2 linked regions of the Arabidopsis thaliana genome follow. The protein of the gene in region 2 interacts with the protein of the main gene of each other region in a pairwise test. Each region holds a gene or a part of one and is shown on either strand. Other genes may lie near its edges.

Region 1 (8,341 bases), on a different chromosome or scaffold from region 2:
TTTTTAGATTCATCATAAAGCAAATAATTTATGGTAAAGATCAAATATTTAGAAATTACTTAAGAAGAATGACGAATAGATACAGTTCAACAATTACAAACATTTAAGTAGACAACTATTCGTCAGGAAAGATGCTATGAACAGACACAAACAAAAAATATAATTATCAATATTATAACGAAAAGTTGCAATAAAGAGAAACAACAATTGAAAAATAACCCTAAATATTTTTACTGTGATAAAAAGACGCTAATAGAAAAATTAACTATATTTCAAAAAGTTATGATGAAAAGACACGAATGTAAAAAAATAACCATCGATATTTTAACAGACACAATTTACGATAAAAATACAATTTTACGAAAAGTTGCGATAAAAAGACACTAATGAAAAAAAGGACCGTCAATATTAACCAAAAATAAAGATAAAAAGACACGAATGTAAAAAAAAAAAAACCGTAAATATTCTAATCGACACAACTGTTTACGATAAAAAGATATGAATGAAAAAAAAGTAACCGTCAATATTTTAACAAACACAACTGTTTACGATGAAAATCAGTTTTACGAGAAGTTGCGATAAAAAGACATTAACGAAAAAAATAACTTTCAATGTTAACCAAAAGTTACGATAAAAATATACGAATGTAAAAAAAGTAACCGTCAATCTTTTAACAGACAACTATTTATGATGAAAAGACACGAATGTAGAAAGTAACTGTTAATATTTTAATAGACACAACTGTTTATGATGAAAAGACACGGTTGTAAAAAAAATAATCGTCAATATTTTAACAGACACAACTGTTTATGATGAAAAAATACGAATGTAATAAAGTAACCATCAATATTTTAACAGACACAACTGTTTATGATTAAAAAAATACGAATGTAATAAAGTAACCATCAATATTTTAACAGACACAACTGTTTTCGATGAAAAGACACGATTGTAAAAAAATACCCCCAATATTTTAACAGATACAACTGTTTACGATAAAAAGACAAGACATGAATGCACAAAATATTAAAGGATACATCCAATAAATAGTTTTCAAAATGCATTTAGTGATAGATTTTATCACATTTTAGTATTTTACTTCATATTTGTACAAAATATCACGTAGAACAAACATTCACGAGAAAATATAATTATCAGAAGAAGAAAAAAGTGATTGAATTAAAGAAATTTCAAACTCAAACAAACAGCTCACCATCTTGGCAGTATTTCACCAAACTCAAATAAAAACACTATACATGAAATTAATTCATCAACCTCAGATTATGATACAGAAAATAGATCAGATAAAAAATATAACAATAACAATAAAATAAAATATTGAATATATATGTGGATGATTTATTTTATATGATAATTTTTTCCTCAGAACTTGAAACCGAGGCTGGGCCATTTCTTAGCAGAAGACTCTTTCTTCGGAGGTCTTGCATTTGGATCAATCAGATTCTGGAGCGACTTGGCTTTGTAGTTCCGCGACCGCCCAGCTTCCTTCAAAAGCTCGGCCAAACGTTTCTTCTCGTCTTCAAAATCCGGATTCGCAGTCCCGAGCTTTTCCTCTCTCAGCTTCAGAACCTGCTCTAATATCTCAATCGCATCCTCTATCCTGCAAATTACATAGCCATCACGAAGAAAGACTTTAATGTTTCATTAAGGATGTCTGATCTAATTACATAGTCAGATAGTTTTCTTTAGGACTTTACCTTCCCATAGCGTCATAGGTAGCAGCTAGATTGCTATAAACACCGAGAGTGTCCTGATCGCACGGTCCACGTTCTTGTTCAAGAATACCTCTTGCTTCTTCAAACAGCTCACCCGCTTCATCAATCTTGAAAAGCTGAACGCAGGCTAGTCCCATCTGGTTTAATACAACACCGAAGAAGGCAGATTTCTCACCTGCTGCCCGTAGCTTTGTCACAGCGCTCTCAAACGCGTTTCTTGCGTCCTCGTACCTCCCCACTGTGTAATACATAACTCCCATCCGTGCCTCTAACCCTGCAAATATTTACATACAAAGCAAAACAGATGTAAAGGAAGCTTGACGAGAAGATTGACAATGTCATGCTAAAGACTCGAATTCTTGTACGATCACAATCTACTTCCCTAAAAATACCTCAGATAAGTAATTAGATCTCTTATTTCTAGAATTCTTCGACAATATCACTAACACACAATTACAAATTAGCGTATTGGCTAACTCTAAAACCGGTAGATTCAGAGCAGCAAAACGAGTAAAGTTACTATAAGCGACTTTTCCTTACATGATTAACAATACAAAAATCAGTACTTTACATACAATTCGAGACCAAAATCGCACAATTTCAATACACTGCATAGCAATCCAGCTAAAGGAACATTCATGGTATGGACAAAAAATTTACCTGCAATGGCGCTCTGCTGTCCTGGCTTATCCTCAAGCAATTTCATAGACTTCTGAAGTAGCTTCAATGCTTCCTCAGGTTCATCTACAGACTCATAAATAGCAGAAATCTCAGTTAATCCACCAGCAATCTCCTCCACAGTTGTCCCAGGCACCGGCTTATTGTATATCCTCAACGCATTCTCACAGTAAGACTTAGACTCACGAAGTTTCCCTGTTCTATGGTAAAGCTCAGCCAATCTAACAAACACTGACGCAACCGTCGGATGAGTCTCTCCTTTAGAAGCCTTAAACACAGTAAGAGCCTTCTGATATGAAAACACAGCTTCATCAAACCGGCACAGCGACATGTAAATATTCCCAATACTAACATCAATCGATGCAACCTCAGATTCTTGTCCACTCGCAATCATAGCCATACTAGCAAGAACAAGATGCTCAAGAGCGTTTTCATAATCTCCTTTAGCCTCGCAGATAATTGCCATCAATCTCCTATCAGCTGCTTCCTCCAGTGAAGCAGGTTCACTATGCGCTCGGTGAATCTCTAGAGTCTTCTTGCATAACTCTTCCGCTTTATTGAACTGCATTGCTTGAACATATGCTTCTGCTAAGTACCTGAAAATTATCAGAGACTTCAGAAACTTAGATCTAACCTATATAGTAACTTTTAGCAAACGTAATCTAAGAGTTTAATTAACCATTAAATGCTTAGTTAAGAGAACCTGCAAGTTTCACCAACTCGTGGATCAGTATCACCCAAAGTCTGGATCTGGATCTTAAGACCTTCTTCATAACAAGCAATAGATCTATCAATCTGACCAAGCATAGACAACGTATCACCAAGTTGCATATGACCAGAAAACGCAGCGAGAGAGTGGTCAGGGCCACGAGTCGGATCAGGGACTTGAATAGCTCGTTCAAGAGGTGGTACAGCTTCATCAAATCGGCCGAGACTACAGTAAATAGCAGCGAGAACATGAAGGCTCATAGCGAGATCAAGAACAGGTCCACCATCGCTACCACCGGGAATAGGCGGAGCAACGGCGGCGCAACATCTCTCAAAGGACTTAGTTGCTCGGATCGCGTAATCTAATGCTTTGTTAGGACCTTCACCAGAAGCAATAGCGTCACGAGCTAATTTTAGAAGGAAAGGACCGAGATCTGGATTATCTAGAGATGGATCGTCGACGTCGATTACGGCTGCGGTGGAGGAGGATACGGTTGGGGAATCTTTTTTGCCGGTGGATCTATTTGGTGATGGTTTGGATCGAGATGGTGTAGAGGAAGGGGTTTTCTTCATCGGAGTTCGCGGCGGGTTTGAGAGAGGTTGCGTGTCTGGTACGGCTACACGTAGCGGCGGTGTATCGGAAGGAGTTTTGACTGAGACGAGACCTGGCATTGCTGGCATGAATGTGTCTCTCTGTGGGAAGTGGGAGAGAGAGAGAGAGTTATGGCGGATTTGGTTTTGGATCGGACTTTTGAGATCCAAGTGGAGAAGGAGACGAGTCAGTCAGTGAAAGAGGTAAGGGTAGTTTCGTAATTAAGTTTTAGATTGGAGGAGATAACGGTCATGTTGTGTTGGAAAATATTGGTGATAGATTATTAAATAAAAAAACTTTTCTTACACACAAAAAAAACAAACTAAAATAGATTTTGTACTTAGTGACGACAAGTGATAGATAGATTTTACAAGATAGATAAGTTTGCATGACAAGATTTGTACTGTTCTGAATCAGAATTTCTGATGAATTGTTCTCAATCTAAAATTTTATGAACTCACAAATTTAGATAGTAAATTAAATTAGAGAAGAGAGTTAAAAAAAGTAATGCAATCTAAGTTTTCATTTTACAATAAATTGAATATAAATCTTTTTTATGATGTGTATATTGAAATGGAGATAGTTGAGCATTTATCCACTTTTTACCATATGGTTTATGGTTTCAGTATTTAGAATGTAGGTTTTTTTTTTTTCTTTTTTTCCAACAAACAGAATTTATTTATATGAGTAAATCTTTACAAAGAGAGTTTTTGAGCCAAAGTGGCTGATAACCAGAATTCGATTGAAACTTGTAACACGAATAAAGTGGAGAAGCTAAGAGGTGAGCAGTATTATTACAGAGTCTATTTGTGAAAGTGAAAACCACAGTAGAAAATCTTGATGCCCAAAAATCCACATCTCGGAGAAGACTGGTTATTTCACATCTAGAAATTGCACCATTAATTGCCTTGATAAGGATCTCACAATCACCTTCGAACTGAACACACTTATACCCTCGTACCCATGCTTGTTGCATTGCGATTAATAACGCTTTTGTCTCAGCTTCCAAAGCAGTGGTACCATTTTAGACTATTGATGATCCCCAAGCCTTCGCTAATCCTGCATGATCACGTATGATCCACCCTCCCGTACTCTGAGTATTATTACCCGTGAAACCCGCATCGAAGTTGCACTTTACTAAAGGAAAGACCGGTTTCTTCCACCGCACGTTTGCCCTGTGTGATGATCGTGTTAAAACGGAAGCGTCCTCTCTTCGGTTCACACTTTGTAACCATTCATTGACTTCTGCTTCAGTTTGTGTCACAACCCTTGAGCAACTTTCACTGAACTTATTAAACACAAGATTATTGCGTGCTTTCCATAATCTCCATATGAGCCAAAATGGGGCCAACCTTTGCTCTGTATTCAGAGTATTGTTTGAAAAAGAATTGATAAGGAAAGAAATATTCTCCTCTGTGTCTTGAGAGAAAGTATGACCCGGTAACCAAGGGAAGTTTGATAGACCCCAAATTGACGCAGCATAAGGACACGTAAATAAAACATGGTTTATCGTCTCTTCTTCAGTTGGGCATCTGGGGCAGTGTGGATCGATGTCCATTCCTCGAGTGAGAAGTCGCGAGCGTGTTGGTAATGCTTTTGAGATTGTACGCCAAAGCATGTACTTGATTTTTGGAATAATAGGGAGTTTCCAAAGCTTGTTCTTAATTTCCACTGAACCATGAGGCACCACTGGTCTAACCTAAATATTCGTTGGGTCATTAAAGAGAAACCAGTACCCGGACTTAACTGTATAATCCCCAGAAGAAGAGTAGTTCCAAACTAGCTTATCTTGATGCACAATCCTGGAAAGATGATGGTTCATAACAAAACGGTGGTCGTCGGGACTAACAAGCTGAGAAATGAGATGTGCGTTCCAATACCTATACGAACCCTGAGTTGAGATTAACGTATCCACCGTGATATCCAACGTAGGAGTGACGACGTTGAGAGGTCGTGGAGGGTGCGATGCAATAAAATTATCTTGACTGATTCAAACGGTTTTGCCATCTCCGACAATGAATCTGCTTCCTTTTTTAATTACATCTAAACCCGCAAGCATAGAAGTCCATCCGTAAGATTGATATCTCTGCCTTTTAGCGTCCAGAATAGAGTCTTCTCTAAAGTATCTTGCTTTCATTATTCGGGCAAATAAAGAATTTGGGTTGTTAATCATCCGCCATACTTGTTTTGCAAGTAAAGCGTCATTGAATTTAGCCAAATCTCTAAACCCTAAACCACCTTCCTTTTTCGAGTATTGTAATCTCTTCCAAGCTATCCATGGTATTTCTCTTTTTTTTGCATTCTTTTCCCACCAGAAATTCATTAAAAGAGCTTCAATCTCCGAAACGATATTCAATGGTAATTTGAAGCAAGACATTGCATACACCGGCATCGACATCGCCACTGATTTTAACATAATTTCTTTTCCTGCCGGTGATAAATATTTCGCACTCCAACTGGATGTTCGTTTCTTTACTCTTTCAATGATATAGTTGAACATGTCTCGTTTTTTCCGCCCAAATTGCTCCGGGAGCCCAAGATATTTCCCACCTCCACCATGACTTTGTATACCAAGAATGTTTTTGAGACGATTTTGAGTGGTGCCATGTACTCGTGAACCAAACGTTATCATTGATTTGGACATATTAATTTTTTGGCCCGAATAGTACTCATAAACATCAAAGACATCCTTTAAAGCTTGGCAGTTTCGGACATTAGATTGGCAGAAAAAAAGAGAGTCATCCGCAAATTGTAGATGAGTAACACCAGGAACACCATTACCAATTCGGATACCTCGAATATCCCCTTCCGCTACTCTGTTTTTAATAAGATGGTTGAGTATATCAGCACATAGAATGAAGAGATATGGAGATAAGGGATCTCCTTGTCTTATTCCACGTTGTGGTTGAATTGTGCCATGAGGTATGCCATTCACTAAAACTGAGTAGTTGACTGATTTCACTGCTCCCATTATCCATTTGATCCATGTCTCGCTGAAACCAAATAGTCTCATCGTTGTCTCCAAAAAATTCCACTCCACTCTATCATACGCCTTACTCACATCTGTCTTAACCGCCATATAGGATTGAGAGACTCGTTTCCTTGTTTTCAGAGAGTGCATCATTTCGTGTGCGATCATAACGTTATCATTAACTAACCTTCCCGGGATAAAGGCAGCCTGAGAGTCTGAAACAATTGCATCTAGATGGCCTTTTAGTCGTTCTACAAGACATTTAGAAATAATCTTGTAGAGAACATTACATAATGCAATGGGGCGATAGTCAGAAAGTGTTTCAGGGTTTGTAATTTTAGGTATCATACATATATTTGTGTGATTTATTGATTGTTTCATGTATGATGTCCTGAAAAAAATTTTAACCTCTTTTATCACATCCGGACCAACAATCTCCCAACAAGACTTATAGAAACGAGCTGTTAGACCATCAGGACCCGGTGCTTTGTCATCTCCTATATGACAAATGGCGTTATAAATTTCCAAATCACTTAAGTCCTTTGTGAGATCGTCATTTATTTGCTCTGTCACTATAGGTTTGAAACCCGCAAAATCAATGATTGAAACAGGACGACCATTGCTCTCATAAACCTTTGTAAAGAACTCCTGAGCATGAACCCCTATCTCTTTGTCACCCCGATAAATCATTCCCTCCTCATCCTTAATTGTCACTAAACGATTCACAGAAAATCTTGTTTTGGTACAAGCATGAAAAAATTCTGTGTTGCGGTCTCCTTCTTTCATCCATTGGTTTCTACTTTTTTGTTGCCAATATCTCTCTTCATCACGGTAAGCAACGGTGAGCTCTCTCTGTATATGTGATATAGTTCGTCTCTCCGTTCTATTAACACTTGACATAGCTTTATCTAAAGCCGCTTGGAGTTGGTTTATCCGGATTCGGGAATTCAAATTAGATTTATGTTTCAACTTTGCCATCGCCTGTCTGCAGGTCCTTACTTGATCCGGAAGGTGTTTTCTCTGACCATTGATCGCCTTATTCCAACCAGCTTTGACATATGTTTTGAAGTGTGGCACCTCAAGAAGTCGTTTGTCAAAACGAAATGGTCGCATCTTTCTTGTTTCAGTTTTTTCGAGAGATAGGAATAATGGTTTGTGATCAGATCCTGTGAACTCAAGAAATTCCAACTCAGCAAAGGGGAATAAGAATGCTCCTTCAGAGTTGATGAACGCTCTATCTAAACAACACTTCACCGTATGAGAGTGACGCTCCCCCACCCATGAGAATCGGTCTCCTATTGAACGAATATCCTTTAAATCACAAGTGCTAACCATATTTCTGAAACCTCTAAAAGTCCACTCATCTCTCTGCGGTCCCCCAATCTTTTCATTGTTTGATAAAATCTCATTAAAATCTCCTATCAAAATCCATGGATCATTGCGTGTTTTTGATAAATTTTCAAAGTGAGTCCATAAGCTATGTCTTTCACTTTGACATGGATGACCATACACACGAGACAAATAGAAGTTTATATTATTGATAGAGATATGTACATCGATATGGCGATCATCTTGATAAAGATTGGACAAACGCACACTATCCTTCCACAACAAGGCCAAACCACCACTATGACCTTGTGGGGGTTGAGTTATTAC
Region 2 (8,341 bases):
GTAAGTCAAAACCGACCATTTTTGTAAGAAAAGGTCAAAACCCCTCTTCCTCTACCGGAGGGTTTGGTATACAGTTTTGTTCCTTTCATATCGCCGCCAAGGCAAAGTACTATACCTAATCTTCCAGAGAATGTTTGATTTCTCGCCAAGTAAATAAAAAAAGGGAATCTTCAAAGATTCTTTGACAGGATTATGTTTGCGATTACAAGTAAAAAAGATATGAATATTTTTTGAAGGAAAAACATACAAGCACAGATATTCATAGTTCATAGTACATACAAGCACAACCTAACGTAGAATAAGATATTTACGACTACAAATAAAAGGTATTACAAATTAATTAAGCTTTAAAGGATCTGCATTACAATACAAATAACATCATCATATTCCAATTCATCCAACATTAATAAAAATAACTTAAATATTCAAAGAAACAAAAGAACATGAATTTTAAAAGGTTATAAAATTTATTATAGTAAAAAAATAAATGACTGGCGCTTACACTGCACAAATGAATTACGAAATGAAGGGAACACATAAGAGACAACAATCTCGGACACATTCATAAGTGGGAAAATAATTATATTAAATAAAATACCTCAGCTGCCTGCTCCGTTGGTCACGGTAACGCCGCCACTCTCCACCTTAGGGGGAGCTGAGAACCGCCGTGGTTTAGGCAATGCAGGCGAAGTTGGATACGAGAGCCGTTTCTTAGCTGATGCCTTGTCTGTGAACCCTTCGTTTTCCTGTGTGGTACCACCTAATGGGCTTTGGGGCTTGAGCCTGGCTCGAGCTGATTTAGTTGGAACCATGTAGCTCGGGAGAGCTGGTGAGCCAGCGAGGCTCTCATCGTCTCTGACTGATGAACCAGCAATGCTGTGTCTGCGGTTCCTCTCGGACAGGACCGAGATTGTGCTTTTGGAGTCGTCGTCATTGGATTTCCTCGAGGATTGGTTTAGCCTTGAGGGAGTTGGAGGTGAGAAGAAACTGTTTTTGTTTCTTGGGGTCCCTCTTGCGGATGATGGTGTGTTTGGTTGAGTTGAGCCATTGCGGGTTAGAGATTTTGCAGCTTCGTTGCGGTTAATAGAGCCCTTGACCGAGGCAGCATTGTCATTGTTGCTGTTGCTTTGTTCTTTCTCGGAACTCTCTAGTGGCCTACCAGCCATCCATCTCTCTAACCAGCTCCAACCCCATGTCGGGTTGCTTGGATCCATGAACATCGGGTTTCCAGATTTAGAGTTGTTCTTCCAGTTTTGCTGCAAACATGAACATATAGGATCATTACAACATTCAAATGAACCACAGATTCAACTTCAATGGATGTGTTCACTTTTTAATTGTATCTTTCCACACATTCAGCATTATAGGTAACGACTGGAGTACCTGATGAGAGTATGAATAAGCCAATGCCCTTTCCCTTCTCATTGTTGCCTCGTACTTGCTTAGCAAATTCGCTTCAACTTTCTCCTTTGATTGAATGCTATCATTCCAGTTATCCCCGTTCTGTGAGCAGCAACAGGAAAAATAGTACTTTTATAAGCAAAGGCCCAAAGATTCCATTTTCAGATAAAAAAAGAGACAGTAAATTGATAGTGTAAGTAAACATCTATTTGATATGAATGGTAATGCTACTATTAACCCTTTCCAGACTAATAAGCAGAAACATAATAGCAACTGCTAGGAAGAAATCAACAGTTCTTACTTCTTAGCAATCCTCTCACCAAAAACAACGGAAGAAACTTTGAATAACAAGAAAAAAACTGAATCAGATGAATATGAGAGACAGACCTTCAAGCCAGCTAGCTCTTTAGCATGTTTCTGAAGGAGTTGTTTCTGGCGAGCCTGATTCTCTTCTGACATCCTGATTCTCCTAGCTCGGATCTGCGACTGTACACGAGAGAGAGTCTGCATACATTTTAGAGTATTTGCAGCTTGCCGCTTAACAACAGATCCTTCCATCAATAACTTAAGTCTGACCAAACCCCTCATTGCCCGCAACGCTCTCCTTGCCTGTATTTCAGATATTACACAAAATAAGATTATACTCAACAAAGCAGCTTCCTTCACACAAAATCAAGTGCCTCGGTCAAACTCATACGAAATTCCGAAGGAATTAAGTTTCTGCAGATAATAAAGCCAATTGCAAGAGTAGAATTACATACCAAATAACCTCTAAATATAGTCTGGATCAAGATAGCAGCGGCTTCTTCGTTTGACTTTCCAGCAAATCGAGTAGGTGTAGCGCGACGAACAACACCAGGAGCAGATGAAGATGGAACTACAGGAACATCAGTAGCTGTAACATTCACAGCATCTGCTGTAGAAGGAGGTGAAAGATCCCTGTTCCGTTCAACAATCACTTCAGCTACTCTCACTTCACGAGGAGCAAGAGCAGGAGGAGGAGAAGAAGAAGATTGTCTAACATTATCCACAACAGGAGGATTAGAGATAACACCATTTTGTCCCTCAGCCAATTTTTGCTTCGACTTCTGAAAACACATCAACATGTCAATATATACAGACTATAACATTAAGTCACATCAATATACAAAAAAAAAAACTTCACCTTTGAATCTGGGCTGAATGCTTTCTTAACACTTGAAAACCATTTAGCTTTTTTCCCCATCTCTATGTAATCCTTCACAGAGAAGAAACAAATTATTCCACAAGGAAACTGAATCTACTGATCTCAGTAGCTAAATTACGACAGATCTCGAAATCTAGAGCTAAAATTCACCAATTGATACTGAATCAGGGAGAGAATGAATCGTACCTATGAGAAGACAGTGACACCAGATCTGATAGACGAAAAAGCTTGAAGATAAAACCTGGAGGAGTCAACTAAACCACAACGCGGCTTCTAAGTAGTGACCTTATCGGAGAAGACGAAAAAGCTTAAGAATCGAATCGATTGGATCTTTGCTGAGGTGCGAAGATAACTTTTCTTCTTCGAATTGCTTTCACATTATCATAATTGCAAATGGAGAAGAGAGAGAGAGGAGAAGACAGATGGATTCAAAGCTGTGTGAAGAAGAGTATTTGTGACGGTGTGTGTTTGTGCGTGATGCCACTTAATTGGGCCTCTTTTGTGGGCCCCATTCTACTCTTCTTTTTTTCCTTTTCTTCTTCTTAATTTACCAACTTCGTCTCTCTTTTACTCTATTCTTTTCACTTTTTTTTTTTAGTGATGAGTTTTATTTCTTAAGTTTCATAAACACTGTTTTGTTAATTTTTCTTTTTATAGTATAGTATCTTTAGATTTATTATTATTTGGTGCATTTCAAAAATAGTATACATAGTTGACATGGTATATTGGTGTTTTCTCTAAAAATGTTTGAAATTTTCTTAAAATATGGATAACGTGTAAACTGGAAAATGTATTGGATTTTGTACCTTTTTTGAAACTAGATAATTTAATGAACAAGTTATGAGGATCGATAAAACAGTGACCATATAAATTTTAAATTAATTTATAACTTTATCCGGTAAGATTGGTCTTTAATTTCACCTAATAAAACAAAATTGTTGCAATAAAAAGTTTTTATTCGTCTTTAATTTTTGTCTTTAGGCGGGTTAAAATATAACACTATATTTTTGCCGTTAAATATCTGTTATTAATCGAATTAAGATTTAAGATCGTATTTTTTGTCGTCAAATACCAATTGTTTATCGAATTAATTCATCTGCATAATCCGTATAAAGTATGTGTGTTTTAATACACGCTTACATTACTACAACCGACAAAACATGTGAACAAAATATGTCCACCAGTGAGACAGCCTTTATCATTTTAAAATATACTCGTTAACAAGCCACCATATACGATACTTAATACTTTCTGGATTTGATAAATCATGAAAATTAGTTGGTCATTGTACTTGTACACCATATCATATTTTATGTTCAGATCCACCCACACTACTAAGTTAATCTCCGATGGATGAACAAAGAAAATATTTGACTCATAATACCTAGTGACACAAACCATAAATAATGCTTTGGAAAAACTCGTTTTATGCAACAGCTATTAGCAGACTGTATTTTGCTCTATGATCGTGTATATCCACCACAAAAGCAATTTCCCAAATTATATGGATTGACATACAGTGAACTAGAACGATGATTGAAAGAGTATATAATTTTTGTCCACTGGATTAAGTATTATCTGCCTGAAATCATTGACTTTTTTCGGAGATAAACCCAAAAGGTTCCTTATCGGTGGCCAGCTTGTACCAGTCTTCCTGTAATTTTTGTGGTTAAGAAAAAAAAAAAAAAAAAAAAAAAGCATATATATGTCCAATCACTCCATGTGGCGTCTTCTCTGTTTCGTTAGTATAACATCCCTAAAATTATTTTCATATAAAATAAGTGAGAACTAGCCGTTGGAATTTGATAATTTATTTTAGCTAATCATATGTCCAACATATCAAAGTCCTATGTATAACTGTTTATATAAAGATATGCCTCTGATAACTTATAATATTAATAGGTATCTGTATATCCAAAGTCGGTAGTTGAATTGGGGATATGGACATTCCACCTAATGTATAATTCAAACTTTGTCGTTGCCAATAAAATAAAAAATAATTATAAGCTATTATGAAAATTTCTCTCCCCGTCGGTCAACTTTGAGTTGGTCTTTGCATTCTAGCAAGTGAAATTTATAAGTTAATTAAACCGGGGGAAAAAAAAGATAACTAAACCAAAATTGAACCGAAAAATCCATTTGGCATTATCTGAAATGTAAGTGGGGCATGGAAATAAGGTCAGGGCCGTTAGCGTTTTAAAGATATTTAGATGAGCCAGTGAGTTTGGTAACGACCCGACATTTAAGTCTTGTCGTTTTGTAACAGAGCAACGGTAGAAGATTCCTATATTGGCTAACACCTAAACCTGAACCCATGATAACGCCATACCTTTTTCTTCCCAGTGAATTTAATTGAATTAACAGTTTACAACTTCATATATAGATTAGTCCATGTCCATCTATATCACCTCAGAGAATTTAATTTCACCACTATTCAACTTTTGTTACTACTTCAGTTCATCTATTTTTTCAGTTAAACATACACATTTAAAATAATATTTATAGTTATAAGAAAACAATTTTATAATAATATTTTTTAAAAGATAGGGTTACGTTCAGCATGAGAGTTTTTGGGAGATTGAGTTGAAACAAGAACTGAGAAAAACATTTAAGAATTGCAAAAGAGAATGAAGAGTTACTGGTTTTTGATCGAACTAGAGATATGAGTCATTTTCTATATTCACTCCAAAATCTAATAAAGAAGCAAACACAATTCTGGTTTTAATTAGCTGAGAAAGGTTCATGATAAGCTATTTCTATGTTTCCTTCAAAACATCATAAAGTTTTTGAAACTGAAGAAATCTAAATTCTCAAACCAACCATATGTTGATCTAAAGTTATATATATGACTTCTTACACCACTGGACGACAGAAGATAATCTATTCTTAGTAATGGCTGATAGTACTTCTTGATAGGGTTTTAGACTGTTTACCTCATTGCTCAATGCTAGGATTCTGAATCAGATAGCGAGCGTTGTGTAAGAGGGAAGTAGTCTCCTCGTTTGATGCATCAAGCAAACGCAACTCCTTGATCTCGTCCTGCCATTTCTCAACATGTTCCTTGTGTATCCTGTTTCATAAATGTGAACAGTGTTACACATGTGAGTGTATAAACATCTCAATCATGGTACATACAGAAACATTATAGAATCTCTTCAAACTCACATGATCAAGCGTTCTTCGAATTCGTTACTGAGTTCCTTGAGCATTGTTTTCCCTGTTTCCAGCAAGTTAGAAACCTACCACAAGAAGCATCAATCAATATCAGATTCTTCCTAAACTTAAGCAATCAGGGAAATGATAAGAGCAGCTTACAGTTTGTGTGAAGCTCTCAATCTTATCGAGAATTTGCGCAATGCTAAGTTCCATCTCATCAGAAGCAACAAGTTTCGTCTCAGCTTCTTCATTCTCAATGGTATGATCAAGGCTAATTCCATCTCTCGAATCTCCTTTTCCCTCTTCATCCTAACAAATTTCACAGGACAAAATCAAAAATCTGATCCACCACAAAATCATCATCACCAGATCAACGACAAATTCAAAAAAAACTTACAGATGCTCTCATGCGTTTCCGAAATCCTCCATTCCCTGCGTCTTCTTCCATTTCAGTGTTCATCAAAACTGCAGTAATTTAAAACGATGCTCATGAACGCATAAACAGATTAAGAATTAAGTTTTCTACTCGATGCGATTGAATCCACTAGCTAAAGCATCGCAGCAGATTCCGATTTCAAAATCTAAAAACCGTACGATTACATCCCCAACAATCTAGCTTAGGATTCTACAATAGAACGGAAGAAACTAGATCGAGATCGACGAAAAAACCTCCGAAAGAGATTAACAGAGAACTTACGCGATGAAGATCGAAGAAATTGCTCAGTACGAATTGGAGAGAAGAAGATGAAGAAGTTTTAGAGAGAGTCCAGTGAGTGTAGAGAATGAGGAAGAAAAGCCAATTTGTTTATTCCGAGAATCCATTTAAATAAGCGTTTAGATTTAAGACTTATTTTATTTTATTGTCTCTGTTTCATAATCATCACTAATTAAGTAATTATGCTTATACAATGCTATTGGCGTTTTAAGTATGGAGGAGTGACTCAAGAATCAAAGCGATTTAGATGCGATTTGATATTAAGCCGAGTAATCCAAACATTTTACAAAAAACATACAGCCAAAATATTCACCTAATCAGATACTAATCGTTTTTTTTATCTATCTCGTCCAAAAAATGTTACAACCTCCGGGACAAAACAAAAAACAATAAACCGGAGGATCGATAAGATATACCTTAAACTAGCTTAACTTAAGAGTGAGCAACTTCTTCTGGCTCAGTGATCACTGCATCGAGAAAGGTTCAAGACTTGTTATAAATATCCCGGGACCTTTTAAAGGGAAGCTCAACGAATACATGTTCAACTGATGATGATGATGATGATGACGACGATGATGACAATAGACGATTTACTTTTGATGAGCTTGGTCCAGCTGATTGTTGTTCTTGTTTTACATCAACAGAATTTTCAGAGATTATGTTACTCTCTCTTGGATGAGGATTATCATTTTCAGCATCACTCTCGTCAAGGATCACAATCGTATCTGCACACAACAGAAAATATTCAAATAAATTTTCTTACAAGAGAGGTTCACCAACATATCAAGAACATACATACATACCTGTTGGAGTGTTATTCACATTATGATCATCCACCATAATAACCTCATTCTTGATAGTCACATTATAATCCTCCACCACAATAACCTCATTTTCGAAAGCCACATCGCTACTCCCTAGACCGGCGAGATTCTCAGCATCAAAAAGCGATTTCAAGAATGAACATTGTGATTCAGCCGCATCAAATCTCTCTTTCAATTCAGCATACTTGTTCTCCATCTTCTTCAGCTTCTCCACTTCTTCCTCTTTCGCAATCAAAAGCTCCTGATTCTTAACACTCAAATCATTGATAATGGCCTCTTTCTCACTGATCATTCCCTTCATCTCCTTCATATACTCCTCTTTCTCACTTCTCTCTTTCTCTAAATCCTTAAGCAAGCTTAGAATTTTCTCCTCGAGTTCCTTAATTTGCTTCTGATATTGAAACTTCATTATCTCGTTCATTTCATTCATCTGCTTAAAACTTTCCTCTATACTTTTGTAATCTTTTTCCAGATTCTCATAATTCTCCTTGAGAATTTCATGTTTTGTCGCCAAAATCTCCTCCTGAACAACCAAATTTCTTCTTGTCGGAGTAGCCACCGACGAGATTTTGTTCTTCCCCGATTTGTTTGAACGAGCTGATGATTTTCCAGTCATGACGTCGAAACCCTAACCCTGGATATCAACACAAACAGCGGTCAAGCTTTTACTAGAGCTTCTTTATCTTTGCCAAATTTACAAAATTTCACAGATTTCTAAAGAAACCCTAAAACTCAAATTCGTTCTAAGCTCCACCGGAAGAAGAACGGGGAAACTAACACTAGCGGATCTTTAAACCAAAATGTACAACGGAAGAAGAAGAAGAATCTTACCCAGAAAATCTTTTGAATCTTCTTCTTCTTCAAACGACCAGAAGAGAGAAAGAGCTAGCTACTGGAAAATGAAAGTAGCTACAGAGAAGGGAAAAAGCAAATCCCTAGAAACAGAGAAAATGAAGCGGGAATACGAAAGGACAACATATTCATGATCAAGTTAATAATTGAATCTTTGTTTAGTGTTAAATTGAACTTAATCCAAATTTTTGTTCTCTTCCCATTCAT

The links.
Region 1: the proteins of iqd2 (region 2) and KLCR1 interact in a two-hybrid assay, tested with the Arabidopsis thaliana proteins (one large-scale study listed by BioGRID).

Annotation. Positions count from the first base shown.
Region 1 is NC_003075.7:6,652,076-6,660,416, reverse strand, and holds KLCR1 (Tetratricopeptide repeat (TPR)-like superfamily protein), read right to left. Parts: upstream 4,044-8,341; 5' UTR 3,804-4,043; coding exon 3,118-3,803; intron 3,011-3,117; coding exon 2,397-3,010; intron 2,011-2,396; coding exon 1,719-2,010; coding exon of another isoform or gene 1,715-1,718; exon of another isoform or gene 1,622-1,714; coding exon 1,384-1,621; 3' UTR 1,152-1,383; downstream 1-1,151.
Region 2 is NC_003076.8:709,781-718,121, forward strand, and holds iqd2 (IQ-domain 2), read right to left. Parts: upstream 3,354-8,341; 5' UTR 2,774-3,353; intron 2,639-2,773; 5' UTR 2,627-2,638; coding exon 2,567-2,626; intron 2,490-2,566; coding exon 2,163-2,489; intron 2,011-2,162; coding exon 1,789-2,010; intron 1,504-1,788; coding exon 1,384-1,503; intron 1,257-1,383; coding exon 600-1,256; 3' UTR 168-599; downstream 1-167. Other genes in the region: AT5G03050 (knotted 1-binding protein), read right to left, coding at 5,522-5,657, 5,753-5,826, 5,903-6,052, 6,141-6,203; AT5G03060 (striatin-like protein), read right to left, coding at 6,942-7,183, 7,262-7,898. UniProt on the Arabidopsis thaliana protein: May be involved in cooperative interactions with calmodulins or calmodulin-like proteins. Recruits calmodulin proteins to microtubules, thus being a potential scaffold in cellular signaling and trafficking.